4 linked regions of the Notamacropus eugenii genome follow. The protein of the gene in region 4 interacts with the protein of the main gene of each other region in a pairwise test. Links are inferred from orthologs where the notes say so. Each region holds a gene or a part of one and is shown on either strand. Other genes may lie near its edges.

The links.
Region 1: the proteins of SH2D4A (region 4) and PPP1CB interact in binary tests that used the Homo sapiens proteins (3 or more experiments, as listed by UniProt). The two-hybrid records come from large-scale screens. The link is inferred for Notamacropus eugenii from reciprocal best matches to the Homo sapiens genes SH2D4A and PPP1CB.
Region 2: the proteins of SH2D4A (region 4) and TACC1 interact in binary tests that used the Homo sapiens proteins (3 or more experiments, as listed by UniProt). The two-hybrid records come from large-scale screens. The link is inferred for Notamacropus eugenii from reciprocal best matches to the Homo sapiens genes SH2D4A and TACC1.
Region 3: the proteins of SH2D4A (region 4) and SORBS3 interact in binary tests that used the Homo sapiens proteins (3 or more experiments, as listed by UniProt). The two-hybrid records come from large-scale screens. The link is inferred for Notamacropus eugenii from reciprocal best matches to the Homo sapiens genes SH2D4A and SORBS3.

Annotation. Positions count from the first base shown.
Region 1 is NC_092872.1:530,449,576-530,456,544, reverse strand, and holds the start of PPP1CB (serine/threonine-protein phosphatase PP1-beta catalytic subunit), read right to left. Parts: upstream 3,008-6,969; 5' UTR 2,437-3,007; coding exon 2,385-2,436; intron 2,074-2,384; exon of another isoform or gene 1,868-2,073; intron 1-1,867. UniProt on the Homo sapiens protein: Protein phosphatase that associates with over 200 regulatory proteins to form highly specific holoenzymes which dephosphorylate hundreds of biological targets.
Region 2 is NC_092872.1:622,022,862-622,030,854, reverse strand, and holds the start of TACC1 (transforming acidic coiled-coil-containing protein 1), read left to right. Parts: upstream 1-4,989; 5' UTR 4,990-5,384; coding exon 5,385-5,545; intron 5,546-6,555; coding exon 6,556-6,671; intron 6,672-7,993. UniProt on the Homo sapiens protein: Involved in transcription regulation induced by nuclear receptors, including in T3 thyroid hormone and all-trans retinoic acid pathways. Might promote the nuclear localization of the receptors.
Region 3 is NC_092872.1:612,075,195-612,083,084, forward strand, and holds the start of SORBS3 (vinexin), read right to left. Parts: upstream 3,014-7,890; 5' UTR 2,896-3,013; coding exon 2,860-2,895; intron 1-2,859. UniProt on the Homo sapiens protein: Vinexin alpha isoform promotes up-regulation of actin stress fiber formation. Vinexin beta isoform plays a role in cell spreading and enhances the activation of JNK/SAPK in response to EGF stimulation by using its third SH3 domain.
Region 4 is NC_092872.1:616,685,230-616,692,317, forward strand, and holds the start of SH2D4A (SH2 domain-containing protein 4A), read left to right. Parts: upstream 1-4,088; 5' UTR 4,089-4,385; intron 4,386-4,436; exon of another isoform or gene 4,437-4,654; intron 4,655-4,874; 5' UTR 4,875-5,044; intron 5,045-7,088. UniProt on the Homo sapiens protein: Inhibits estrogen-induced cell proliferation by competing with PLCG for binding to ESR1, blocking the effect of estrogen on PLCG and repressing estrogen-induced proliferation. May play a role in T-cell development and function.

The sequences.
Region 1 (6,969 bases), about 86 Mb from region 4:
TATAAATAATTGTACCCTGCCATAACAAAATATGTGAACATAAATAAGTAAAAAAATCTTAAATGGTTTAAGTCCAAAGTTCTCTATATCAAGAGAGCACAGGTCCTGTTAATTCATATTTCTAAAATCCAAAACCAATCTCAGAATTTGTACCAATGGGGTTAGAAAGACCTGAATTCTCCAATGAGGTCAGCAAAATTCTAACAAATTGTTTCAAGTCAGCAAGCTACTTTAAAAGCAACATTTGACTACATAAATTTAATGATTCAACTCATTGAAAGTATGGACATCTTTAAAAAATGGATTTTATATATCTGTACATGTGTATACATATGCGCATGTGTATATTTATTTATTTTTTCCATAAGGGTAATGCCTGACACATAATGTGTTCTAGCTTCCAAAGTGTTTTCACATCTGTTATCTTATTTGATCTTCCCAAAAGCATGAAGTACGCAGCTTAAAAAATTATTTTCATTTTTCAAATAAGAAAGCAGAGGCACAAAGAGGTGAAGTGACTTGTCCAATGTCACATAGCTAGTAAATGGTATTCCTGCCATATTAGGGACTGTTGCTATATATAATCTTGGCCATCCAGAATTAATACAATTTACTTTAATTCCAAAGGAGAAGAATTCATGTTTACTGAGCACTAAAGTTCTTTTCACTATCATAAACAAAATTTGAATATTTGGGGATTCCGGCATGTTATTATGTTATCACTCGCCAGGCCATTTCAAGGATTAAATCAAGCTCTTTCCCATAGGGCTGTGCCATTTTCACAGCCCAACACCTTCTATAAGAAGACATACCTATCTTTCCAGACTACTCCAACTAATTTATTTTCCATGGATTTTTTTTTTAAATCAAGCCCCTATCAGGCAAAGACTTCAACCTCAGAAAAATTTTCAGATGGGTTGTAAGTTCGTTAAGAAGTTAACACTTATTATAGGCACCAGGGGGCCTCCCAAGGATAACTGACAGCGTGGAGGAAAAGGCAAAAAGAGTTCACAGCAAAACTTTGTTTCCTATTTAAGCAATAAACTATTACGGACTTTCACATCTGGATTGAATATATTTAGTCACACTAGATAACTATACAGAACTAATTAGTTCTTTAGATACAACAGGTTAGAAAAAGAAATTTTCCAAAAAGTAAATAAACCTTATTTTGCTGATCTCCCAAAAGCAAGTAGTACTCTTTCACTGTATCAACTATTTTCACGTAATTTAGGAAGCAAACAAATTAGGGTAGTTGATGCTACATTTTGGTATTGTTATTTGACAAGGATTCTTAGCATTAAAATGTTTTTCTACTATAACTAAAAGGCAAAACAATTAGTTATGGAATAGATGGTGGTTTTCTTTGGGGGGGGGGGGGGGGTAATTAGGGAGACCAAGGCGGTAATGAAACTGAAACGTACAATTCAGTTTTTTACATTTTATAAGAAATAATTTTAAACTTTTTCAACATCCCTTTAGGAAAAAGAAAAAAAATCCTCCATGGCTCAGCGGAACACACAGTCAACGAAATTTATTAACTGAAATTCTTAAGAAAAAAAGAGGGGGAGGCTACTTTCCAATTTCTGCACAAAACTAATTAGGAGTGACATGTACAAAAGTAACTCTAATTCATGTGAATCAGTGAAGCCACACAACCCAATTCCACCATTTTTTATTTACTGAGACTACTTCGCTAAGATTTTCAATGTCGATCACTCCTTGTCGCATCTGTCCCAGAAGGGGGAGAGAAAGCCATCCCCAAAACTCTACCATCTAGTCATAGAACCGATCACATATTTGGATAGAATCTGGACTACTCAACTCTCCCCAGCCCCCTCTCGCTTCTTTATCAATAAGGTTTTACCCTCGGTAAACGGCCCGAAAATAAAAGTGGATCCAAAGCCTCCAAGGAGAGCGCAGCGGAACCCGCTACCCCATGAGGGAACAGGGGAGCCACCAAAGGTCAGTTTCTGGAGACCAGGACTCAGAATTTATCCGGGAAACCTGTGAGTGTCCGGAACGCCCGAGACTCCCAGCTCCTTCTCGGCTCCCACCCCGGGGGGTCGCCCCCCTTCCTGGGAGCCCCCGAGCTCGAGTCTCTCCCCGCCCCCAAGCGAGAGGAAGGGGGCCCGCGCTCGGACCGAGCCGTTCCCTCCCGCCCCCCTGGCGGCCCCGCCAATTCGCACGGCTCCCCGCCGAGCGGAGAGGACTTCAGCCCCGACCCACCCCCCGGGCCGGCGGGATACCACGATCCCCGGGGATTGGGGGGGTGTCACGCCAAGCTCCAGGCTCCGCTCAGCCTCCTCCGCTGCCCCGCCCCGCCCCCCCGGAGCTCGGGGGCCTGGAGAGGGGGCGGCGGCCCCGGGGGCGCCCGCACTCACCCTCCAGAAGCCGGGTGATGAGACTGTCCACGTTCAGCTCCCCGTCCGCCATCTTGTCGGCGCTCGACTCTCCTTCCCGGCCGCGGGAACAAGGGCTTATCGGCGGTCGTGACGGTGACGGCGGTGGTGACGACGGCTCGGGCGGCCCGCGCTCCCAGGCGAATCACCCCTCTGCGGGCTCGGCCCCGGCTCCCCCTTTCCCTCCCCCCCGCCCCGCAGAGCAGGATGCGTTCACCCCCCACAGACCCACACACAGATCGAAAATAAATAATTAAATAAGTGAACCAGAGGCAGGGGGGTAGCGGGGGGAAGAGGGAGGGAGCGCCCACGAACGCAGCCGCGTCAGGAACAAGCCGCCAGCGCCGCCGCCTCCGGGCTCCTCCTCGTCGGCACCGCCCAGCTCCAGAGAGCTCAGCAGCGCCGCCCCGGACGCCACCCGCAGCCACAAGCCTAGCCCCGCGGCCCGCCACCCCCAAAGCCGAAACTGCTGCTGCGCAGGCGCAACTCTCCTCCCTCTCCCCTTCGCTCCCCTCCCATCACGCAAGCGCACTAAGTTTTCTCCGCCGCGCCGGTGCGACGAGCTCCCCTTCCGGCTCCAACGCACCGACTCTCCTGCGACGACGCAAGACGTCCCAGAGGCTCAGCCGTTTTGCGTGACGCTGAAGCTCCCCTTACGCTAGGCGCACGTAAGCAAGGGAGCCCTTCCCCCACTCTCTTCCCAGGCTCTCCGGATGGCCGAGGCCGCGCAAGCGCAGTGCCCAAACTCCTTGCGTCCCCTCCCCCCCACCCTTCCCTTTCCAGTTTTGGTCTCCGTCCCTCGTTTCCTGAGCAACTCAATCGTACGAGAAGTTGCCGGGAACGTTGACCACAGTTTAGCGCTACTGGAAACGGAGACTGGGATTTCCGAAAAGATTGCCCTTTGCAGGAAAATTCAGGCATTGTCAGTCTGTTCATGTTGAACCTGGCTTCCCAGAGGAGCTTAACCATGTAGCCTAGAACTGCGACGCTGACGAAGGGGAGCTTGGCTCAGCCCCCCTGGGCTCGGGGCCTGGCCTTTTTACTCCCTGTAGGGCCTTGGATGGGCCCCTTCCCCCTCGGAGTCTCTTTGTCCTTGATCGGGGGGCGGTGTTCATTCAAGTACATGAAGCAGGTCCGTGCCAGGCGCCTCGTAATTGATCAATGGAGAAACACTTATTAAATGTCTACTACCCTACTTAGTGCCAAGCTGGGGGTACAGAAAGAGGCCAAAGATAGCCTCTGCCCTCAGAGACCTTACAGTCTAATGCGCGTTTGGGGGGAAAACGTAGACAAATGAGTACAAAGCAAGCTAACAGAACAAATAGCAAATAATTAAAAGAGGAAGGGCATTGGAAATGAGAGGAGTTAGGGCAGGCTTCCTATAGAAAGTGGAATTTTAGTTGGAACTTAAAAGGAGAAGTGGAGACTCAAGGGCAGAAAAAACCAACTGGACTCTACCAAAATAGTTCCCCTAAAGCATAGGTCTCGCCATATAACCGTAAACTCCTGTGGCTCTGTCTTACCTCTAGGAGCAAATAGAAACTTCTCTGTTTGGCTTTAAGGCCTTTGGTTCTTAAACTTTACTTCTGACCTGTTTTATTACACACTATTCCCCATCATGAGCCTCTCTCACATCCCAGGTACTCCATTTCCCTTCACCATGCCTTTGTACTAGCTGTACCTAAGGCAGATATGCACTTTCCTCCTTACTTCCACCTCTTAGAATCTCCTGGTTTAGCCTCCGAGACTCACCTCAAAACACCACCATAGATCTTTCTTGGCATGGCTATTCCCCCCTCAAAAAAGTCATTTTGTATCTACTTTTGTAGGATACTGTATAGGTTATATGTATTTCACATGGATTTTCTAAATTTAGCTGACAGGAAGACATGAATTGATAACTCTGAAATCTCTTCTACCTTTCAAAGGAGACTTTGAGTTCTGATTTTAGGGGGAGGCAGGAGAAGGAGCCATAAAATTTTGTTGTGCTTTCTAAAGGGAGAGGGGGGTACCAGACTGGAATTATAATTCTGTGCCGCCCTAGACATTGCCAATCTAGGGGAAACACTTTGTTTTTAAGTTTGTTACTTCTTGGTCATCCCCATTAAAGGAGGTGATTATATATCTGAAGGCTTGACTCCTTTCCCATCAGATGCTAGTTACACAAAACTATTGCAAATATTGAATAGCAAGTAAACCTATTTATCCAAGCAGATAGCAAACAAAAATCACAGATATTATACAGAGTAGACTGTACCAAGTAATACACAGAGTGAATGACTTCTACGCCTGAGAGTGAGATGGCTCAACCAAGAGAATCCTAAGGGGAAATTCATCAAAGTCTCTAGAAATCTGGGACATGTCAAGAGACTGGCTTCTCTACATGTTGACAGTTTCTCAAATTTTCTTTTCTTTCTCCCCAGGGGTCTCTCCCTGAAGAGAGCCTAGAACTTTGTGCGTCTTCTCTCAGAAACCGGAAGACAGAAAATATCTCTCCTCTTCCAGGCTCTCACCAACTCCACCCCAAGTAATCATTCTCTACATCAAAGAGGACCGTCTCATGCAGTATTTGCACCAGTCTTGAAATGGTATATGTGTACCCATTGTGTTTCCTGATAGAATATAATCTTCCTGAAAATAGGGACTATTTCAGTTTTGGTTTTGTTTCCCTCATAACTCACAACTCACCTTTGACATGTGAATATTGAGTTTTCAACAAGCACAAAACAAAACATTTTCTTCTGCAGAACAAAAAATAATCAAATTGAAGCTGCCTTGAATAGTGATTTAGAAACATGATCTAGTACATTGCACATAGTAAATGCTTGATAATAACATGTTTGTGGATAATACATGATCTATCTCTTGAAATTACTTTGTGTTACTTTGCATAGACTGTGTATTTATTTACTTGTGCATATGTTGTGTTCTCCCCATACAATGGAAGCTCCTTGAAGCCAGGGACTGTTTCCTTTTTTGTCTCTTTTTCTAGTACCATAATTGCTTTGTAAATGTATGTTGAATTGAATTAAGTAATTGTGTGTTAGGACTGGCAGACATCTTAAAGATTATCTAGTTCGGTGGTTCTTAACCTTCAACAAAACTCTTTGGCAGTCTGGTGAAGCCTATGAACCCTCTTTCAGAACCATCATTCTAAAGGCATAAAATAAAATATGTAGGATTACAAAGGAAACCAATCATACGGAAATATAGTTATCAAAAAATTTTTTTTAATTCTCAGACTCCTGGCTAAGAACCTGTCTATGATCTAGTCCTATATGTTCATTTTATAGATGAGAAAACAGGGACTGGCTCAGGAACCAGTTAATCTACAACTCTGTTAATAAACTGGTTGGTTGGTTGTTGTCGTTCCTTCTCAAAGAGGACCAAAATAACATCATTATGATGGAGCCAGGGTACAGTGTGTCTGACTGTGGCTGATCAGACCAATATGAGCTTGGAAGGTCAGATACAAATAGTCCATATGAACTTTTGGAGTACAGATGTCTCTAAGTTTGCCCATCTCGCATTTCTTTTGAGTTACCTCAATTCTGCTTTATTCATAAAGCACAGCACCTTCTTTGATGTGGCCCCTTCATGCTTGGTGGTCCTGTGCCAAAGTCTCTCATGTCTCACAAGTGATACACAAGTTCTTCAGAGAGACCTTACCTGAAGAGGCTCTTAAATTAGGGATGATAGCAAGTCAGTCAAAAGCTATTGAGCCTTTGGTTTGTCTGTGTCTCTCCCACTAAGTTATGGACATGTCCATTAGCACCTTGTTTAGAAGATAAAAGACAACTCATGACTATGTGCCTGGACTACCTAGGAAGAACTGGTTGGTTCCAAAGCTTGGGAAAATGGAGTCTTGTAGTATGAGCTGCTCCTTTGTTCTGGCCCATAAAAGTGAGCTAAGAGAGCTTCTTGGGTTCTTTTGGCCTTTCTTCAGGGGTGTAGCCAGGGGTTTGGCGGCAAATGTTTAAGCACCAGGAAAAAATTATAAACAACAAACCTTTAAGCTTAATCTGCAAAATTAACATTTTCTTCATCATCTTCTTAAGTCTAGACAATCAACAAAACAATAAATGAGCCCTGATATGAAGCATTCAAGGATTTCTGAGGTACATATTCTCATATTGAAAATTTAACAGGAGGCTCTCTCAAGTTATTAAAAGTGGCTCCATCATACCCCTGTGTCTAGCCAACCCTGGGCCCTAGACACATCTCTACTAAAAGACATTAATGGCTAACAAAGTAAAAGCACATTGCAGTTGAACATGTTTATCTACTCAGTATGAGAGCAGCAATGATTGGGGCAATAATGGTATATCTTGGAGAAGAACTTAAAAGTTATAGATGCTAACCTCTGACCCCAAAGGAGAGTTTATGGGTGATATTCCCAAATTTAAGGTCCCTATGTTAAAGAGTTGGAGATTTTGGGTTCCTGGCATCATGATGCCAAAATCTAGTCCTCTAGCCAGAAAAAGAAATTTTCTTGGGGAGTACAAGTCTTGGGGATTGACTCATAAGATAATTCACATTTAAGAGTTTCAGGGAGCTGACCTTTTAG
Region 2 (7,993 bases), about 5.3 Mb from region 4:
TTCTTGTCTCAACTGGTTCCACAGCCTAACTTGTAAGAAAAATGTATTATGACTTGAGCACGAGGAATTTTATGAAAGACGTGATTGAGGACTTACAATGTATGTATGTATGTATGTATGTACAATGTACATGTCTGACCTACAATGAAGGTAAATCAGTCATGTAGCAAAGAATGAAAGGACAGACAAAGATGCAACCTGCTGGGAAATCTAAGATAGTAAAAGAACAAGAGTGGAACCTTGAGGGGAAAATGGATGAGAGTCACATGAGGGGTTCTGGCTTGTATCTCTGGAGAATACTTTCCCACAAGGATGAAATCACAGAGCTATTGAAGCATGAAATTCTTCTCTCAACACATTATTTCCTTAAACAGTAAATAATTGAACTTTATGGCATAAATCTAAACTGCCAGCTTGTTGTTTTTGAAAGATCTCTGATTTTATCCATTCTTTCCAATAAATCACCCAGACATGATCTACCCCCTCTCATGGAAGCCTTCCCCAACAGAGAGACTAGAAAGAGAAAAGGGCACAAGAGTTATGGGGACCTGAATGAGAATCCAGACAAGGAGAATTACTGAGAAGGAACAGTTGTACAAGTAGGAGTAGAACCAGGAGAGGACTGTATTAAGAGATAGCTCAGGGAGAAGAGAATGTGAGAGAGGAGGGGTTGGTTGGCAGTGGCAAGTGCTCCAGAGAGGTCAAGAAAGAAGTGTATACGTTTGTCCTTCGTTGCTGAAGGAAGACCATGCCATCAGAAAAATGGTGACATGACTTGCACTTGACTTTGTTTTGAGTGAGGGGAGGGCCGTACAGGTCACCAGCCTCACTTCTCCTCCAGAGCCATCTGAATCCAGTGACCAGATATTCAACAGGATGACTGGAGATGACCCAGGAAGAGGCAATTGGGGTTAAGTGACTTGCCCAAGGTCACACAGCTAGTGAGTGTCAAGTGTCTCAGGTGAAATTTGAACTCGAGTCCTCCTGACTCATGCACTAGTGCTCTATTCACTGGACTACCTAGCTGCCCCTTCAAGAAAGATGAAGACTAGGTGACAGCCATAAAACTCAGCACTTAAGAGATGGTTGGTAATCTTGGAAAGAGTGGTTTCAGCTAAGTGAGCCTAGAAGCCAGGTTGCAAGAGGTTGAGAAATGAGTGTGAGATGAGGAAGCCTGTGAAAGGAAGGAGAGATAAATGATGATAACTTGAAGGGATGGCAGGGTCAAGTGAATTGTTTGGAAGGATGGGGGAATTGTGGAAATATGGGTAGTCTTCAGGCAAAGCATTCTGGGGAAATTTGAGATTTGGGTCATCCTGTGTGTAGTGATTACACCTCTTAGTCTGGTGCCACTGATTAAACCCTCTCTAACCATTCTCTGGCAGCCAGGTGGCACAGTGGGTTGAGCACTTGGCTTGGAATCGGGAAGACCCATTTTCATGAGTCAAATTCAGTCTCAGATACTTACTAGCTGTGTGAACCTGGGTAAGTCACTTAACCCTGTTTGCCTCAGTTTCTTCAACTGTAAAGTGAGCTGAAGGAAACGGCAAACCACTTCAGTGGAGTCAGGGAGGGATTATTTCTACTCTCCATTGGTTTGTCACTTCAGCTCCCTCTAGCAACAGGAAACAAAAAAACAAAGTTCTCAGTTTTTTCTCCTAATTTTTAATTCCATTTGAGAATGGAGCTTTAAAAGTAAATGGGATCCATCTAGCTTCTAGCAAAATTAATTCATATCTGTGGATGTCTTTGACATTAGCTCTCTCCTTATTAATGATCCTCTAGCCTCAGAGGAAAGAGTCATTTTAGGCCATTTTCTCACCTGTTGAAGAATCCCTGAATCTGAATTTCTTAAGGGCCTCCAAGACCCCATCTTTAATAGCAGGGACATCCACAAGAATCCTCTCTAAAACATACTCAACAATTGATCATCTAGTCTGTCCTTAAATAAAGGATAGTAACAACTCACAATTATGTAAGTCTTTAAGGTTCGCAAAGTGTGAACACAGTAAGGGCTTAATAAAAGCTTGTTGAATGATTTCTTGTAAGGAAAGAAGGGAATAGACATTTATTAAGTGGGGGAAGGGGAAAAGGGAAGGGAATGATCATTTATATAGGACTTAAATATGTGCCAGGCATTGTGGGAAGCAATTTACAAATATTATTTCAATAACTCTAGGAGGGTGGCTGCTATTGTTACCCCCATTTTACGGTTGAAGAAACTGAGGCAGATGGAGGGTAAGTACCTTGCCCAGTGTCACACAGCTAGAATTGTCTGAGGCTGTATTTGAATTCAAGTCTTCTTGACTCTATCCACCGCAACACCTAGCTGCCCCTCTCCCCTCGTTATTTTCTATTAATCCTGTATACCGCTTGCTTTGTATGCACTTGTTTGCATGTTGTCTCCCCATTACAACGTAAGCCCCTTGAGGGCAGGGATCATCTTTTGCCTCTTTTTGTATCTCCAGTGCTTACACTGGGCTTAGCTCTTAGTAGGTGCTTAACGAGTGTTTATTGAATTGAAGCTGGGTATTTGAGCTTGTGCCTCTTGGGGCCATTGTAATGTCCTCCTGTATTCCTTTTCTTTAACTCTTCCGTGGCAAAGGAGTGAGCTGGTAAAATGGGGGAAATATCCTCCACATTGAAACAATAAGAAAACAGAGGGGCTCAGCTGTTCCTCCTCTGCCTCCTGGAGTGGAGAGGGTTTTATTTTTAACACTGCTTTCACTCAGGCCTGAAGCAGCTCACTAACTGAGTCAGAAAGAAAGTGATGGAATGAGGCAGAAGCCTTATTAATTTTTTTTAAGTGAGAGAAATGTAAAACTGATGAGCCCCTAGAATACCCTATTGATTCTACTGTGTAATTCAACACCTTTGATGTAAGGCTTCAGACCCTCTCCAAATGCTGTTTTGTTTTCTTTGTTTTTTTGTTGTAATGGGAGGAGGGGAAAGTGTCAAATTCCATCAGATCACCATTTATAGGGTATTTGGATTTTTAGTGCAAGAAGGGTCCCTGGAGTCATGTTTTTTGTTTTTTGTTTTTCCCCTGGAGTCATCTAGTTCAAAACTCCTATCTGATAGATTGGGAGAATGTTAATGATGATTTTCCAAATCCCAAGGTTAGTAGGAAGGGTAACGTCATCTAACATGTCTTGGGGGAATTGGGTTGCTCCCCTGGCTAGGGTAGGGTGGGCACCGCCTGCATGTTTTCAGTAAGCTTGCCTTGCTCATTTTAAAGGAGCTTCCTCCTTTAAGAATGGGTTATCCTCAAGACTCTGATTCATACCCTTCTGTCCCAATTTAGGGCCTCTCCCTATTACCATCCTTGACCCCCTGGAGCCTTTCTAGCTTTGGGGATCTGGACTTAGCGGAACTGATTAGAGGATCTGAGGTTCTTTGGGTCTCTAGTTGACAGGGTTGAAGTGAAGAGTGATAACCTTTTTATTTATTATTAGAGGTTATTTTGTGAAACAAAAAGTTGTTGGAATGAGGGAAGGGATTTTCCATTTAGACTTTCAACTTAATGGGAGATACATTATGGGGAACTGGCCTTTTTACTGTTGGGCCATGTGGTTGTAGGGAATTATTATTAATTTTGAGAGTGTGTGGGGCTAGAAACAAGTGAAGTTACTGGATACTTCTTGCCCAGAGTATGCTCCAACCATACTGTAATGGTCATGTAGTCTTTCCTTGGAGACTTCCAGGGATGGGGAACCCTGTCTGTCAAGGCAGCCTGTCTGACTCTTCCTGATGCCATATTGGGTTTTCTTGGCAAAGATACTGGAATGATTTGCCATTGCCCTTCCCAGTTCATTTTACAGACAAGGAAACTAAGGCAGACAGAGGTTAAGTGACTTGCCCAGGGTCACATAGCTAGTAAGTATCTGAGGCCAGATTTTTGAACATAGGGAGGGTCTTTCTGACTCCAGGTCAGGAGCTCTATCCACTTACTACCTACTTTCCATTCCACTTTTTTCCTACCTCCACCCTTATACTTACATAGAGTTTATATTTGCCCTCTAAAACTTCCATCCACAGCTCCTGGTTTGCTTTCTTAGACCAAACAAAACCAGTCTAAGGCGCAGAGTAGTCCATGGAGCTATGGATTTAAGAGTCAGGGAGACCAGAATTGGAATTCTGCCTCAGTCAGATACTACTCTCTGAGTGATCCTTAACTTCTCCTACCCTAAGTTTTCTAATCTATAAAATGGGGAACAATAATAATGCAGTTTTCCGGGTTGTTGTGGGGATCAAATGAGATTACACAAGGTGGCCTTTAAAATGCCCCTTGGGGCATAGTTCCAAACTTCTCCAGAACGGTTGGACCGCAAGTTTCCACCTTCTGAAGGAAATCTTCCCAAACCTCTCCATTCCAGTGTCTTCTTTTTGTTCACCACTTCCTATCTATCCTGTATATAACCCATCTTGCTTTGTACATATTTGCTTGCTTGTGGTCCTTCCTCTTTAGACTGCAGGTGCCTTGAGGGCAGGGGCTGGCTTTTGCATTCGTGGCTGTCAGACTCCAGCTCATTTCCACAGAGGAGGAAGCTGAGGCAGGCAGGGTTAAGTGACTTGCCCAGGGTCACACAGCTGGGAAGGGTCTGAGGCAGGATCTGAGCCACCCAGCTGCCTGCCTGGCGCACAGTAGGCTCTTAAAAAGTGTTGACTGGATAGTGGGGGAGGTCTGCCCATTCCTGTGACAGTAACTCCACCGGGTGGTGAGAACGTGGGGAAAAGCAGACTCAGAAAATAGGTTTCCTGTTGCTATGGAGCAGGAAAGGGGGTGGGGGGTGGAGTCTCGATCTCTTCCCCCCCCCCAAGCCCCCATCAACTTCTTCCCCCAAATGAATCCCAGCCCGTCTCGGAAGAGTCCACCCGCGGCCAGGGAGGGGGGAATGCGGCCCCTCCGCCCGGGCCCCCCTGCGCCTGAGTGGTACGTGCCGAGGGGGCGGCTCTCGGAGCGGAGCGCGGCGCAGCCCCGCCCAGCCCGGCCCGGAGCGGTCTCCTCTCTCTGGCAGCCAGCTGATTCCTCCCGCAGTTGGGGCCGGGGCGAGCCGCGGAGGAGCCGGGGCTGGAGGGCGGGGGGAGGGAGGGATGAGGGGGCGTGAGGGGGCGGCCTCCTCCCGCAGCCTCGGCGGGCGTCCCTGAGGAGCGGGTGCCGCGGCTCTCCGGCCCGCGCTCGGCGGCGCCTCGGGGGCCGGGGAGGAAGCCAGCCGACCTGTACGTCTCACCACATCCGCGCTGCCCCGGCCGCGGATATCCACAGGCGGCTGTCACCGTTTCCCTCCATTTTGAAAGAAACAGGGGATTAAAAAAAAAGGATTGCATCTCCCCTGCCCTCACCTTTGCCCTCTGCGGGGCCCGGGCCGGGGCTAGCCGCGCTCATGGCCTTCAGCCCGTGGCAGATCCTGTCCCCGGTCCAGTGGGCCAAGTGGACCTGGTCCGCCGTGCACGGCGGAGGGGCTGCTGATGGCGAGGACCGGGGGCCGGAGGCGGAGGCCGAGGAAGACGACTCCCAAACCGAGACCAAGTCTTGGAGTTTCAGGCAAGTATGCAGCATCCCTAGCTGGGCCGGAGCCCGGGATTCGAACTCGTGGCTCCCGCGTCCGCGGGCCATCGGTTCCATGCTGGTCTTGGTCTTTTTCCCTCCTCCCACCCCCCAGCCTTCGGAATGCCCCCGGGTTTCTGTCGGTGGTGGTGTGCAGGAGTGCTTCCTTCCCTCCCCCTCCCCCTCCCCGACCCCACCCCCACCCCCTCCAGCCCCTGGAGCGGGCTGCGGCGCTTCTCCGCTCTCTCCTCCCCCCGTTCCCCTCCACCCCGTTTCTCGATCTGGGTAATGTCTCGTTTCTGCAAGCTTAGAGACGCTAATGAGCTCGAAGGCTTTCAGTGCGCTGGACTCACGGTTCTGGAACTTGGGGAGGGATCACTCCATCCCTGGTGGATTGGGGGCCCGGGTAGTGGGGTCACCCCAAAATGCAGCAGTGGTCGTAGGGAACTCAGAGGCAAGGCTGGCCCGGTATCTTCAGCCGGGGACCATGAAATGGTCGCCCGCTGGACGGTAGGCAAGACGGGGGGATCGACTTCTGATCTCTCAGGAGCAGGGACCATGGTTGTGCTCAGAACTGTGGTTGTCTGCTGGTCAGGATGAAGGGTCATGCCCGCTAGGGGAGAGACCCAAGCTCCAGCCTGGCCCGGCCCGGCCCGGCCTCTGGAAACTGCGAGGTTTCAGGTCCCTGTGTGGTAGCCTTAGTGTTGGGAAAGAAGCGCAGACCTAAGGGAGTGTGTGTGGGATAGAGCTCCGGCGGATTAATGTTCAGCGAAGGGAATCTGATAGGATCCCAAGGAAGCCACTAGTGAGGGGACTCCGGCCATCCTGAAAACCTGCTTGCACATGTGTCTGCTGTGAATCTGTGATGGCCACAGGCTTGTCTATCGGAGGAGGAGGACAGTCACACAAAATGCGGGCCTCTGAGCTGTCTGGACGTTTAAAGGCTGTGCAAGGATGTCCAAAATAGCATTGAAAGTGGTAATTCCTCATTTTTCCCCCCTCGGCAGCTCGGATTCTGAAGGTAATTTTGAGACTCCTGAAGCGGAAACACCCATCCGATCGCCTCTAAAGGAGTTCTGTGATCCATCCTTGGGATTAGAAGGACCTGGGGCCAAAACTCAAGGTAAAGAAAGAGATCAGTCATCAGTCTTCTGCTTTGGTTTATGTGTATTTTTTTTTCCTGTACTGGTTAAAAGAAATCTGGAGGAGAAAGGGCAGGAAACAATGTTTCTCAGGTACACGTGCACTTTTTAAAGGGCTTGAATGACTTTGTATCATCTATTTGCTCCGGGAGACAGGTATTAAACATACTGGTTTATTGAGTAATATTGGGGGTGGGTGAAGTTCAGGTGGTATCTTTGGCCATTTTTTTGTCTCCCTTTGCATTGATTGAATCTCTTTTATGTGATCGTCATGTAGTTTGATGATAAGTCATTTTTACCCATGCTTTTACCTCCTGCCTTTACAGACTTGTAAAATGTAAGTGGTAGCTTACTGCAGATGGATTCTGATCTGTTTTCATGAATTCTGCAGATGAACGTTTTCCCAGAGGCACAGCTGAAAGCAGGGTGTTTTTAAAGCAGGAGTTGCAACTAATTTGATTTGGAATTCCAAGTCTAAAGAATTTCTTAATTGTGCTTCTCTCTCACACATAACACATCTCACACCCACCCCCATGAGATTATGGGAGAGCCTTAATTTGCTTAGGAAAACCTGACACAAATAATCATGGCTCTCCCTGACTCCTAGAATCCCTAATCAGTACACCTTGAGACTATCCTTGGCCTACAGCAGCTTCTGCTGCTGCTCCATCTAATGAGCTGAAAAAGTTATTGGAATGAAGGCTGTTTTGGTATTTACCTCTGTGGATCTCGGGTTTTTAGAGCTGGCTGGGAATCTTAGAGATAAGAGGTAGTCCCCACACCCACCTTTGAAGGATAAGAAAACCCATTTTAATCTGAAGGAAGTATCCTTCATAACCCTTCTCTCTCACCAGAAGGTCGCTGGAATTGTCAACATTGTATTATTCAGAGGTCAAGTTGTCCCCGTTGGGAGGGGTGGGGGGAGGGAATTGGCTATGTGCTGTCCCTTTTCTTTTTTTTCTCTTGCCTTCCACTATAGGACCCTGTTATATTTAAGATAAATTGTTAGAACTGGGAGGGTTTTACAGTGTGAACTCCACATTTAAAAAATTAATTTTTATTTACATCTTGTTTTTATATCAACTTAATTTCCAAATATCTCTTTTCCTCTCCCCTACCAGCAAGCATTTTTAAGAGAAGTTCTGCAAAACTAACACATCAACTGAGTCTGAGTACTTGCAAGATTCCATAGCCATAGTAGTACCCTACAGATCTCTTCATTTTTACAAATGAGAAAAATAAGTCCCAGGAAAATGAAAAAATTTGACCAAAGTCTCGAAAACACAGAGCCAACTAATGGTGC
Region 3 (7,890 bases), about 4.6 Mb from region 4:
TGCAGGGGTGGGGGGAAGGGGGGGTGTGGAGGACCAGGGTGAGGGAAAGGGTAAGAGAGAAGAGGGATGGCAAGAAGCAGGGGAGGATGGGAAATGCCTGGGTCATCCAATCATCCAGGCATACCCCATGGGGATCTCAAAGCACTTTATGACTTCCTAACCCTGAAAAGAGAAATGGAAACAGCTGTTGGGCACAGCAACAAAGGAAGGAAGGAGAGAAACTAGTCTAGCTTGGCTATATGCCCCAAGTGAGAACAGGCAGGGTCCCTCCCCTTAGTACCAAGACCAAGCAGTGCCTCTTGGGTGAGGGGTAGAAATCATCTTCCCTGAGTCAGGAGTTAAGCATGAAATGGTCATAGCCTTTTCTATTTCAGCTTTCCTTCCCAGGGACTCTGGGGAGTTCAGAATGCCAATGGGGACTGGCCTGCCTTCAAATCTTGGGCTCTGGATGCTCTCTCTCTTTCTCTCTCTCACTGTTTCTCTCTGCATGTTTATCTTTCCCTTGGTCTCTCTCTGTCTCTATCTCTGACTGTTTCTCTCTATCTGTATATTTCTCTCTCCCTTGGTCTCTCTCCCTGTTTCTATATGTACGTTTATCTCTCCCTTGGTCTGTCTCATCTTCTCTGCTTTCCTTCTGCTTTCTTAACCTTTCTATTTTTCTCCTTACTCATTTCTACAAGTCTTTCCCTCTGCTTTCCTTCCTGTATTTGTCTCTTTTTCTTGTCTCTGTTTCTTCTTCTTTGCTCTGTCTCTGTGTTTAGGTTTGTGTCTCTGTCCCTTTTTGTCTATCTGTCTGTCTTCCAGACCTGTTCTTGCTGATCCACAGAATGAGGCCATAGTAGAGAATGGCTTATCTCTGGAAATCAGCAGTGGGTGTAGAAGAGGTGATCAGCTCTGTGAGGAGAAAGCCCCCATAGGGGTAGGCAGCAGGAGAAGGTGGAAGACTTGGAGAGGGGGAGGAGGAGGCTGGGGGAAAGGGAGGAAGCAGGTGGAAGATGAAGGGAAGGTGGTCCCTGTGCTGGGTGATGGCGACATGAGACCTGGACTCTTCTTGAAAATTTAAATACAAAGTGTAGGCTGAAATCATGGGTTGACATGGGACTTCCTTCCACCCTACCCCACCCCAGCTAGAGTCACAGGACTTGCCTGCGTCACACTGGCACCTCCTGAGTTGAGTCCAAGTCATTTGTGGGTGGCTTCCACACTCACAAAGGGCAGCATTCGCAAAAGGAGGAAAAGAGGGAGTCCTGTATGCTGGGAAGATGCATGCCCATGGCCAGAGTGGGGATTTCACATGAGCAGTGCACTGGGGGGGCATGGGATGGGGAACTTGTCACTCTCTTGTTCACTTGTAATGAAGTCCCAGAAATCAGGAAGGTCAGGGAAGCAGGCCCCCTATTGTGAGCCACTTATACTTGCTGGGGCTTGGAGCAGGAGCTTGCCTGTTGCTTTTTTGTGCCCATTAGACTGTTGGGGGTGGGGAGGAGTGGGAAGTGAAGGCATTCACCAGCTGGATTCAATTAGGACTAAGGGCAATGCCACATCAGCAGATCAACTCACATCAAAGCTTTCTCCAATTCTTTCTTTTCTAAACATTATGCAGGGGGACACTGAGGCATGACTAAGGAGAGCTTGGCTGAGGGCTGACAGCCTGGAAGTATCAGGCCTTAACTTCTCAGTGCTCTGAGTTATATCATCATCATCATCAATTGACCCTGGATTCTCCTTTCTCTTGACGTTCTCTGACTTCCTTGACCTCTAGGAGGAATTCAGAGTGGATAATTTCCCTTCAAGCAGGCTGGACAATTCCTTTGTTTTCCAGTGTGGCAGAGAAGGCCTTGGAGTTAGGAAGGTTCCCATCCTGACTCTACTGTACGTGTGACCCAAAGCTAGTCACTTAACCCCACAGTTCTCTCTATGACTCAGAGAGAAAGTGGGAATATGCACTAGGAGAAGGAATTTCTTATCTGGGAGTTCCAAGTTTAGTCCCCACCCCTAGTCCTGATCACTAGGCTGTTTTCAGGAGGCAAAGACTGTGTCTGTTTTCCAATATTCCCTTTCCCCCTAAAACAATGTTCTCAATGTTTCCTTTCCCATCCTACCTCATTCTCCCTAATGGGGAGAATGGGCCCAGTTACCCCAGTCCCTTAAAGCAATAAGAATTTACATACACTTTGCCCATTCAGGCCTCTACATTCTTGACCACCAGTATCCCTAGGAGTTAGAGGTAGGGGTAAAGTGGGAACAGAGAGGGAGAGGTACTTCATTTAGGGAGAAATGGAAGCAAAGGGCCTTGATCTACATCCATCCCACCAGATGATGCAGGGATGGGATCAGAAGTAAACCAGGTCTGACTCCCAGATCAGCACTCTGTCTACTTCCTGTGAGCTTGACAGAATTCTCCAGTCCTTTTGGCAAGTCCTCTTTAATTTAAAGGCTTGACTCTGGGACTACAGCAATCAATGTAGTACTACTTGGAGGTTTTTTGTCCTTGTCCAGGACAATACATGGGAAAATAAATGGGGTGGTGGTGGTTAATCTCAGCTCCTTCTCTCTTCCCCATTTCCCCCCAAGAAGACAAGAAAAGGCTTCCCAGGTAAGCTTATATTTTCTTTGAACAGCAAGGTGCTAGGAGCAAGATGACCCCAGTCCTCTTCCCAATTTCTTTTCTCTGTACCTCAGTTTCCCTGAGCATAGGAAGAGGGCCCAGCTGCTTTTCTGTGGACTCCAGAGGGAGGAGCCAGTCTGCCTTCCCTTTGTCTGGTTCGAGGGATTGGCTGTTCTTCCCTCCTTGATCCCTCCCCTCCCTGACCTCAGCCTCTCCTCCTTTGCCCCCTCCTCCTCCTCTTTGGCACCTACCTGCAGAAGAACTGGTGGAGAGGATGGAGAGTCCATGAGGGAGAAAGCATTCCCTCCAGCCTCCACCTTGAGCCCACAGCTGTGGGCCTCTGGGGAGGCTGCCAGGAAGGGGAGAAGTCTGGGGTGTGTTCTCTCTCCCTCGTGACTGGGGCAGAATAAGACTCTTATAGGGTGGGTGGGTGGGTGGGAGGGGAGGAAGGAGAGGCAGTGAGACAGAGTCAGAGTCACAGAGAAAATGGGGAACTGGAGTGTGGGTGTGAGATAGAGAGGACAGAGAGATAACAAAGAGAAAGAGTCAAATCAGCAGGGAGTCTGCAAGCTGGAGAGAGGGAGGAAGGGAGGGAAGAGAGAAAGAAGGGAGGGAACCAAGCAGAGAGTTTCCAATCTCTGGCCTGTTTGCAGCAGGGTGGGGTGTAGGGAAAAGTCATACTTTTTGTCTGTAGCTTTTTCCCCTCCCTCCTCATGTTGTGTGTTTATGTGTGTTGTGGGGGTTGGGGTGGGGGAAAACTGGAAGGGGGGGTGTAATTTGGTCAGGAGGCTATAGGCAAGCAAGTGCCCATCTCCTGGGGAAGGGAGAGCTGCTCTCATTTCAAGGGTGGGACCGAGGCAGAGGAGAGGCAGGGAGATCACCCAGTGATCAGGGTGGGGCGTGTTTAGAGGAGGAGGAGTCCTGGGGGTCCCAGGGGACCACAAGAACCTTTCCCAGCAGCTTTCCTTCTGTGCCCTGTGGAGCCTTTGGCACCAGAGTGGGGCTACTCAGAGTTTCCAGCAACATTTCCAGAATGGGTGTGTGGGGTGTGCTCCTCTGGTCCTGGAGCCCGCCTTTAGTGCAGGAATGATGAATAAGACGGACAGTCGCAGTGAGACACAGGGATAGAAACTGAGAGCCCCAGAGACAGAAATAAGAGACAGTGAAGCAAAGAGACTGACACAAACAGGGCACGGCTGCAGCACAATTAGAGGTATAAAAGAGGTGTGAATAGTGAAATTTATACACATATACACAGCCGTGGAGAAACAAGGACTTGGCAGACGTACGTTTACACATATACATACGCATGCAATGGGCCAATAGAGCGGGAACACATGGAGGAAGGCTGCCCTGGGCTGGAAGGATTTTCTCTTAAGGAAATGGTACAGGGGAGGGGCTGGGGTAAGCCAGCCTGGGAGGGCGGATGAGGGTGGAGGCCCACCCCTGACGGTAGTGGGGTGGTCCGCATGTTCCCAGGCAGCGGACAACACGTTTTGATCTTGTTGTCTTTCCGATGTTCCTGTTGCTCCTGGCTCTGCTCCTAAGAACCTACGCCCATTGACTCCCTAGACTCATTCCACTCCCTCTTAACCTGTGCTGCTGCTACCATTTTTCATTAGTATCCCTCCTGCCTTCATCCATGACTCTGGTTCTGTTTGGTCTTCTAAATAGTCAGATGAAGCTTAGGGACAGAAAGGAATGGAGAAGGATCCCCCTGACCATAGCTGTTGAGAGAATGGGAGGAAACAGGGATGCTGGAGGAGTGGCAGGAACAAGCACAGTGATGCTCCATCTCTGGATCTTGGCAGGGAGTATTTAAAGAGCTTTTGGCCTGGGGAAAGGAAGAAAAGAGAACTTGTTTGTAAGCTGAGCTCAGGCAACCAGGTTGACTTTGACCATCCCAGGGGAACATGTTCCAGAGACATTAAGTCCCAGTTGGAACCCTCACACTGTTCTCTGCACCTTAGAAATAGCTCTAATCCCAAGGGGAGCTCAGAAAACAGGCCACTCCTACAACCCATACCCTCCTCCATGTCCCCTCTGTTCCAAGGGACACAGGCACCAATCCAGCTTCTGAAAGAAATGGGATTGCCAAGTTTCATGGGATGACATACACAGTACAGTGCAAAGAGTTTGGAACTGGGAACTAGGAGACCTGGGCTCCATTCTTTGCCAGGCCTGTTTCTTTCCCTATAAAACAAGAACTATAACACTGACCCACTCGTTGTACCAAATATAGCACTTGCCCTGTTCATACCACGAATGATCAGGAGGTAGGCTTCAGGACTCCGGAGGAGGGCATCCCAGCCTGAAGAACTCTGGGCAGCTCCCTCAACCCTGAGGTTAGCAGCCACAGAGTAGGCCTAGGAGCCCAACCTATGGTAGGTCCTTCCTCCTTCTTTAGGTCACAGTGCACTGAGAGAGTAAAACTTCTCTAAGGCCCTTTGTTCCTCCAACATGAGATATTTTATGAAAGGGATAAGCAGGAATGGGGATCCATTCCCAAAGAACATGAACATGAACAGTGGTGACTGGTATCTCTAACTTGGTTTCCCTGTTGTAACTTAATCAGAAGTGTGTGGGGGGTTTAGAGCACTCCTTTTCTTCTTCGCAATGAAAAGTTAGGGGATGGAGTGGGTGGGCATTGTGTGAGGATTCGTTGAAAAGAGGAACTAACAAGGACTAAGCAATGATCTTTTTTTAAAGAGGCCTGGGACTTAACCCTTCCTTGGGAACATCCACCCCGATCTCCCTGCCTTTGAAGATACTGCCTTCATTCACTCCCTCTGCCCTAAACATTATCCCCACCCAGGGGAAACCAGCCAAAAAGGCTCCCAGGCCTGCACAGGGATCTGTTGCCTTCTCCTTACTTGCTCTCCAGGGCTGGCACTGGACATCCTTGATTGCCTGTGATCCTGACCAGAACACTACTTGCCAGCAGCAGAGTCCCCTTATTCTCCAGGGCTCTAGCCTAGACTCCAAGACAAATATTTAACACAGAGGTTGTGGCTGAGCTGACTAATGTCCTGACTTCCTGTTTGTCATGAGGGAGGGTCATGGAGCTTGAGGATGGTCTACCAGTCTCATTCATCACTGTGGGAATAGGCACTTGAGTAAACAGACTGGGGGGAGGTAAGTGGGGAGGGGGGTGTAAATTGTGGAAGAGGGGCTAAATGGACCCACCCTCTTCTGACTTCTTGATTCCTATGTAAATGAACTTTGGCCTGCCAATTCAAGGCCCCAAGCTCAACTGGGTTTATTAAATGACACGAAGCAGGCAAAACAAAGCACGTCATGTGTGCATTTGGGCACCATCACTTTCTCTTCCTGGTTTTTTTTCCTTCTTTTCTCCTGTAACCTCTAACCAGGCCGGCTGCCTGGCTGCAGCCGCTGGAAAGGATGCCCTCTCTATCACCCATACTGCCTCACAGAGAGGTCAAGGGAGTGAGGGAAATACTCAGAGCTTCCCAGAGTATGAAGCAGGAGAAACCTACAGATTTCTATCTTTTTGGAGAGGACAGGATAAACTCTTCCATCTGGAAACCCCAGGCCTCAGGTTTCTCAGCTCCTCCGTCCGGTCTCAGCTGTGATTGTTCTGGCTCACTTCATCAGGCATTCACTCTTTCTCTCCCCTCCCCTCCAGGGGAGGGATGGGGGTAGGGATTCTATTTGTTTTTGGGGAGCTTGCTACTGCTGTTCCAGCTGCCCAGCACTACAACAGCTTGCTCTTCTTTTCCCAGCTACTTGATGCAGCAGCCACAGGTGTTTTTTGCTTCAAGCCCTCAAAAGCTATCCCACCTCCTTTGCTGTCTTTTCTTTTCTTTTGCATGTTATATAACGTGTGTAAATAGAAATCTATCCGTCCTCTACACCTATTATAATAGGTGGCATTTACATAACAGCACTTGAAGGTTAGCAAATCACTTTACATACACCATACGTCACTGAAGCCTCAGGAACCTGTCAGGTAGATATTTTGCCCCAAGGAAGGGAGAAGGGGAGGGATAGAGAGAGGGGGGGGAAGGGAGGGAAGGAGAGGGAGAGGGGGAGGGAGGGAGAGGGGGAGGGAGAGAGAGAATGTAGAGGGAGGGATGCTCCCCCTCCATGATAAACATCAAACATCAGCAACTGGTCAGTAACTTAAAAGTCAGCTGTCTGAGGAGCCCACTATGACATGCTGCCGGTATGTGTCAGAGGTAGGCTCTAACAAGGGAGCCTTGAGGGTGATTTGGTGACAGGGGCTACAAGCATTTTATGGATGAGTGCTTTGAGGCTCAGAATCTGCTTTCACAGCTAATAAGCATCAGAGATAGGGTCTAAACTCAAGCATTCCCAACTCCCAAGTCCAGAGAGCTTTCTACTAGACCACATTGCCTCTCTAATGGCAGGAGATGGCTCAGCCAAGAGATTGCCATGGCAATGAATCTGTGGCCATGAGCAGGGGAGGTTGTTCATACTGACAGAGGGAGGGACTGGGGAGCAGAGCTATGTAACTGCAAATACAGGAATAACAGGTCATTCTGAAAGCCAAGCTTGGTCACCAAGGGAAGTAAGGAAAGAGGACAGGTTAGGTGGACTTTCGTTACAATGTGAAGGGTGAGACAAGTCTAAGAGGGATAGGATTTACAAATATTTTTTCTTGGAATGCAGAAGTATGAGGGAACTGCAAGAGACAGGAGTCCAGATCTTCATTCATTTCTTAGGGGAAGAAGTATCTTTTCCTACTATTACTAGCAGAGAGAAAGAAAGCCATTCTACCAGAATCCACTGAGTTTACAAAGAAATTGGCTCCATGCCTTATTTTTAGGTATTTTGCTCCCTATACACCCTACATTCCATCTTCCTATGACAAAACATTCTTTTTTCAGTGGTTTGGATTGCTCTGGAGGGCAAGACCACAATGACACAATGGTCAGCAAGATAAATCAGAAAATCAGATCACACAGGATACCCTGGCACCAATCATTCCTTTTCCGTTTTAGTTTTCTGGGCTCTCTTCTTTCCCTTGGGAATCTTTTCATCCTGGTATAAGTTTATGTTACTTGCCAGATCCCATTGATGACCCACCTCTATGCCAGCTGCCTATGGGAAGAGAAGTAAACAAATAGGACAACTAATCTATTTCAAGGTCTTGAAAAGCCCTTCTAGGAGTGTATTGGTTGAACATTTTAAATCACAGTGCCTAGATCTAGGAAGTTTAAATTCTTGAACATGGTGTACTTGTCTAGCACCAGGCATTATTCAACTGAACATTTATTAAGTGCTTCTATGTGCAAGAG
Region 4 (7,088 bases):
TTGTGCCAATCTTAATCATATGTGTAACTGAATTCAATGTGAATGTAATTTTTGATTACATGAAAGAGCCTTACAATAGTAGGTTCAAAATCCAAGCTCTAATTATCAATCAGTAAACATGTATTAAATGCCTACTATATGACAGGCATTGGGCTAGGTACTAGGGATTCCAAAGCAAATAGGAAATAATCCCTGTCCTCAAGGACCTTAAATTTTATTAGGGGAGGCAAGAAGTCTATAAATAAGAAAATATAAAATATATTCAAAACAAATAAAAGGTGGAGAAAGGGAATAAGCATTTATGTGGCGCCTATCATATACCAGGTACTGTGCTGTGTTTATAAATATTATTTACTTCTCACAAAAACCCAGGCAGGCAGGTGCTATTACGTATCCTCATTTTATAGTTGAGAAAACTGAGGCAAGTAGAGTTTAGGTCACACAGCTAGTAAGACTGAGGCTGGATTTGAAGGCTTCCTGACTTCTGGTCCGTCCACACGGCCACTAGTTGTCCCCAATACAAGCTAACACAAAAAATTATGGAAAGAAGGGTACTAGGACCGTGAGGAATCTGGAAAGTCTTCATGAGTCTTAAAAGAAACAAAGGCTTATAAGAGATAGGGGGTGGAGGAATGGGGGTAGGGAAGCAGAGATATCTTGGGCCAAGGCGCTGAAAGAGGAGGGTATCTTGAGATGAGAAGGAGCAAGAAGGAAAATCTAGCAGAAGTTTTGAATGTAGGAAAGGAAGAGAGTGATGGTTAATAAGGCTGGAAAATAGGTTGTTTATTTTATGCAAAATTGAATGAAATGATTCACTGGTCTTTTCAAGATGCCTTAAAAGCTTTCAGTATAGAAAGATAAAGGTTAAGGTGGTTTTTCCATGGTGTTCATAAATACAAATACATGGAATTTGAATTGTCTTCTTTTGGATATTGGAGGTACAGTCAACAAATATTTATTAAATATCTACTGTTTGACACGATGGGGCAGCTAGGTGGCACAGTGGAGAGGTTGGGCCTGGAGTCAGGATGACCTGAGTTCAAATCCAGTCTCAGATACTTACTAGCTGCATGACGCTAGGCAAGTCACTTAACTATTTGTCTCAGTTTCCTTATCTGTAAAATAAGCTGGAGAAGGAAATGGCAAACCACTCCAATATCTTTGCCCAGAAAAACCAAAAAGGGGTCACAAAGAGTCAGAACAACAATAACAATCTCCAGACACCATGCTAAGCACTGGGTAAAGAAGACCACCAAGCAATGGAAGCCCAACTATGACTCTCCTTTCTCCTTTTCTGATCCCCAAAGGCTAAGTGCCTAGAAACTCTCTACTATAGAGCTTAATACACCATTTCAGATTTTTCTCCCATTTTCCTATTTCCCCATCAAGAGTGGGGAGATTTTTTTCAATCTAGGGCCATTGAGTGGAGGCTTATATTGGTTAGGGTGGAGGGTACACAGAAACAATTGAAGGTCACACAAAAGACAACCTTATTTAGTTTTATTTTTTCTCAGAGCAATACAAGAGCTTCAAAATCACTTATTTTTAAAAATTGCAAAAAGAGGTTCATGGATTACTTCTACCCACTCAAAAGTGGATTACCTTTGTTAGATAGGATCACTTCTCAACTGGCAGATTCAATTAGAACTAGATATGAGCAAGACCTAGACATCCTCTTAAAGACAATAGATGATGTCTCAATTAGGTGCAAAGAAAATCTGTGCTGAGTCGGTGAAGGACTTGGCCATGCCAAGGAGCTTGTATAAATGCAGGAGAGAGTTCAGCTCTTCAAACGTCATAAGTCTGAGAGAGTAGAGGGAGTTGAAACATCAAGAACTGAGCTGGAAAGAATCGACAGCAAAGGGGCAACATGCAAAAGAAGAAAGAAAGTTGGCAGAGAAGAGAGAGATAGAGGAGGGCCTTTGGCCCTTTAGGATCTCAGAGTGCAAAACTTGGACTGATGCCATCAGTTTTACCTTCCTTCTCAAAGATCCAAAGTTCTAAAAAGAGGTCAGTTCTTTCCCCAACTTCCCCTTCTGGTATTTGTCTATTAATAGACACTGTCAAATGTTAAAAACATTTTTGCTTACATGTAACTGAGGGAAAAAATTAAATGTAAATTTAAAGAGGACACTGTAATATAACTCCTTTTCTTCTTTACATAAATGTTTCGAATAACATGAATTTCATCTCAACCACAAAGAGGTCAGGGGTTAGCTAGAGATAAACCTAATTATAAATTAAGGCAGAGAGCCAATCCTCTGCTGGGGATTTGGAGTCATTATACTCCTAACTTTTTGTTTTAATTCCCTAAAGCAACAGAGGAAGGAACCATATGAACCTAAGGACAACTGTATTACCCCTAGCCTTAAAATAAGCTACTTATTGTAGCAAGGTATTACACACATATAAAACTTTAAAAAAAAGCCAACAACCACACAGCCAATGCCATAGTTATGTCTAGTTAAGAAAGCATTGCAGGGAATAGGGGAAATGAAACAGAAAGGAGAGATGAGAGATGATAAGGTGGTGGGAAGAGAGAAAAGAGGCAAGAAAGGGGGGAAGGAGAGAGACGAAGGGGGAGAGAGAGATACGGGAAGAAAGGGAAGGCAGGAAGAGAAAAAGAGAAGGACTTAAAAAGTTCTGAAGTAAATTGCTTACAATTCAGTTTGACAGTTGGGTTTTAGTGGTTTTTCATTGGACAGCTTTGTAGTATGCAAAGTTGTATAAGACAATCCTTGCAATCAAGACGTCTAAAAAGTATTTTTTCAATCTAGGGCCATTGAGTGGCCCTAAACACACACAAATACCTTCAGTTCAAGGCAGCATGTGAAAAGTAAATCAGTTTGGCTGGATTTTAGACTCCATTAAGGAGAGTGATGAATGAAGAGCAGGTTTGAGTAAAGCTGTGAAGTACTTTAAAAGCCAAACAGGAATTTGTAGCTATCCTAGAACCACAGGAACCACTGGAGTTTAGTGAGCTGGGGAATAACGAAGTAGGTGCTTACATACATGAGGATCACAGGTCTAGAGCTGGACCTCAGGAACAATATAGTTGAACTTCCTCATTTAACAGATGAGGAAACCAAGGCCTAGAGAAGGTAGGAGATTTGTTCAAGGTCATACAGGTCATGCGGCATTTGAATCCAGGCCCTCTGGATTTACAGGCAGTGTTATTATCTTAAGTTAAGGTTTGAGGGATTGGACTGCATAGTGATAATATTATGCATTCCCATCATTGGATGAGTACTATTCAGACAACAGACATTGATGCTTTCAGTAAGAATTGATCTAGATCCCTCTGCTGTCCCTTTCCATTCTGAGATCCTAGAATTTTGATTCTATAATGTGTTGTTCATTAGTTGAACAAAATATAAGGAAATGAAATGAAATATTTTCCCAAATGTTTTCATTTTTCTTCACATTCCATCCTTTCTGGGTTTTTTATTTTTTTCTCCTCTAAATTCTAAGCCTGTCTTTTAATGTCATACCTTTATGGCTTTTGATAATGGAGAACTGTAAATTAAAGGGCAGACTAAAAGCAAATAGTCAACATTTAGGACACAGAGTAGAACTGAAGAGAGTGACCTGATTTTAAATGCCTTCTGAATGAGTCAAAGCTCAGAAAGGTCCTGTTTCAGCCACTACCCTTAACAGCACTTAGACGTTAAGCTGTAAAGTTTGCAAAGTGTATTTGATCTTCACAACCACTCACTGAAGCAGGTGCTATCACCCCCATTTTACAAGAGAGGAAACTGAGACTGAGAGAGGTTAAGCGACTTGTTTAGAGCCACATATCTGGAACAGAATTTGAACTGTCTTCCTGCCTCCCAAGTCCCGAACTCTATCCTCTGCACCACTGTTCCTAACTTTCATGGAGGTCTGGAATGGATGAAGGACTACCCCAGATAAAAATAAGTGTCTTAGGTACTGAAAAATAGTAAGGGAAGTAACCACATCAGAGAGTCGTAAAGGAGTGACTGTGAGAGGACCTCCCTTAAATTGCTAGTTTTGGAAGCAAGGGAAAGGTTCTCCTTGCTCCTTTCAGACCCAAATCCCCGGGGTTGCCCCTTTGGAGTCAGCGTCCATGCAGTCAGATACTTGGGGCTCAGCAGCGCAGAGGCGCCTGGTGCCTGCGCGAGCAGTTTGGGACTTTGCAAGAGGCAGGGGTGGGGCTGCGAGCTCCAAGTCATCTGGGTGTGTGGGACCCGTCCGGGGAGGCGCACGCAGGGACAGGGTTTTGCTCCTTCAGCTTTCGGACTTTAATAACATCGTTCCTGCCAAATTCTGCTGCCGCCGGCACCGGTCTCTCCCCCTCTCCCAAATTCGTCATTCCTCTGACAGCCCAAACTGAAAGACAGAGGTGCTTGGGTCGCCCTGTGCAGGTGAGTTCGGGATTACAGGTGGAGCCGGGGGTGGAGAGAGTTAGAGGGGACTGGAGAGGAGAGTGAAGTAACCCGGGGAAAGCTGCCGTGGGGTGGCACGCAATGGAGTGTTCTTGGGAGTGAAACGAAAAGTTCTGTGCTTGTGGCTGGGGGAGGGGGCATGAAGTCGGAAGAAAAGGCTGCCTAGGACTTGAGGCTGAGGACAGGAAGCGGGCTTAGTTTCCTGCCTTTGGCAGAGATCCAGGCAGGACCTGGTGAGGTGAGGCGAGGTGAGAGGGCAGTGTGGATGGGACAAGTCTGGATCAAGCGCTAACCACCCCTCCCCCTCTTCTGCACCTCCACCCCCGGTTCCATCCCCTTCCTCCCCTCCCCCAGGCGCTGGCACTAGGAGTAGCTCAGGTGTGTGGGGAAGGCTGGGGGCAGGATGGGGCTGGCGCACAGGTGTCCGATGTCTGGTATTTGGTGTCTGGTGTCCGCCGCCGCGGGCAGGCAGGCTTTGTGAGCCACAGGTCCTGATGGATGGCGGGGAGAGGAGGCGGGGAGTGCCGGGTAGCGCCTGCCGGAGGTGGAGTGGAAGCCGGGAGGCGAAGGTTGGAGGGGACTTCTGAAGCATTCCGGGGATCCAGCCTACAAGGGTGGCGCTGCGTGACCAAGCCTGGGTCAGTGCTCGTGCGTGCGTGTGTGTGTGTGTGCATGCTCATGTGCCAGGAGCCAGCGCTGCTTCAAGCTGGCGCAACTGTTCCCGGGACAACCGGGAAAGAACCTGTGGAGTCAGAAAATCACTGGGCTGTGGCGGAGAGAAGCAGCCTGGACACCCCCCTGGGGCCAGGCATCCGGACTCGCACCCGGGCTCCCAGAGGCGCACCTGTATACGCCTGTGGCTCACGGGAACGCGCACACTCACATTCATTCACTTTTTGGGCACAAGATCTCAACAGCCTCTTACCCCACCCCCTAGGCGGCCAAAAGCACACTTACGGAGCCCTGCTCCATACTAGCGGCATGGTGGATTTGCAGCCCTGGGAAGCTGGGTTATGGGTTCGAATTCTACCGGTTGATAAGTCAATTTTTCACTTGTGTGAAGTTGACCAAGTCCCTTTTTCTCTCTGAAGGACCTCAGTTGCCTGATCTGTAAAATGAGATTTAGGACTAGATAATCTGTAAAGATCTTTTCCATCTCTAAATCCTTTAACGCCTGCGCTTCGGGCACTTTTCCTGGTGCCTTTTGGATCACTTTTAGAGAGGTCTCCAAGCTCCACAAGCTTGAAGCACTCCTTCAAGAGCCAGCCCTTTGCTGTGCCCCAGTGCTTTGGCACCGAGTGTGCTCAGCAGCCCAGCGTGGGCGGCCTAGGGGGGAGAACTTGTGCTTGTTGATGGGCGGCTGGCTGACTGGGCCGGCTGGGTCGTGGGCGGTGTCCTCAGGCCTGGAGCCAAGTCCCTTGGTAGCTAGTGTTGTGGACAGAATGCCCAGCAAAGCCGGTGGCCCCAGGCAGGCAGCTTGAGGCCTTTCCTAACCCCGAGAGCTGGCGGGGAGGTCACCGGCCAGGTACGCTGGGGAAGAGGCCACTTGCTCTAGAGGATTGCTCTGAGAGGTTATATAGGTCTTACCTGGAGGCAGCCAGTATATGTCCGAGGGGGGATCTGAACCCAGGTCCTCCCAAGTCCTTGGATGGCTGCCCATCCATAAGCTGGGCTGCCTCCATTTAAAGTTTGTACTTTCCTCACAACAGTCAAGTAGGTCTCAGTGTTACACGTGAAAACTTGTATTACAAAGGGGTGTGTTATAAAGCACATATGAAGAAAGGCGTATCTGCATCCAGAGAAAGAACTGATAAATAGAAACATGTATAAAATAATTATGTATGTGTGTATCCATGTATGTATATATGTGTGTATATATATTATATACATATAGATATACACATACATACACCTATTTGTGTCTAATGGTAGCCATGGAGGGGGAAAAAAGGGAAACAAACGCATTTAATATGAATTTTGTTGTATATTTGAAAGGAACAGCAAGTGGTATATAGTATATTTGTAGTTTCATGTGCAATCATCTTTTTTATTGTCCCGTGTTGTGGAAATTCTTGTTTTATTCCATAAATTAAAAATAAAATACATTTTTTAAAAACAACACCAAAAAGAAAAAAAAAGAGGAAAGAGTTGCTTGGGGAAAGAAGGAAGCAAATAAGTTGTATGTAATAGACATGCAGTTTCAGGTACAATCCTTATTTCTTGCCTGTGGAAATGTTTGTGGGTATCTGTCAAATGCAGAATAACAGAAATTTAAAATCCTGAAAGAGAGAGAAAAGGGGGGAGAGAAGGATTTGAATTAATTTGATTTGGTGCCTGGTCTATGAATTGACCCTAACCCTTGAAAAGTCCTGAGAGTGTCTGAGTGTGGGTAATCTACTTTCTTTATGAATTAGCAAGGTCAGGGGTTTAGGATGGTTAGGCTGCAGACACAACGGCCTCTGTTGACTGTATTTGAAGTATTTCTATCTTGTTATGATCTGCCAAAGCTTAAGGTACATGACTGTGGCATTCTAGGGCCCAGGGTCACCTTCCACCCCTTACTGGAAGCCTTGGCAGAGTACTTCAGTGGATCAGGAAATCAGTGGGGAAAAACCCTTGTTAATCACAGGTCTGTTTCCTTACTTTTAAGCTTCTCTCCTCATCTTAAATATTTGGTATATA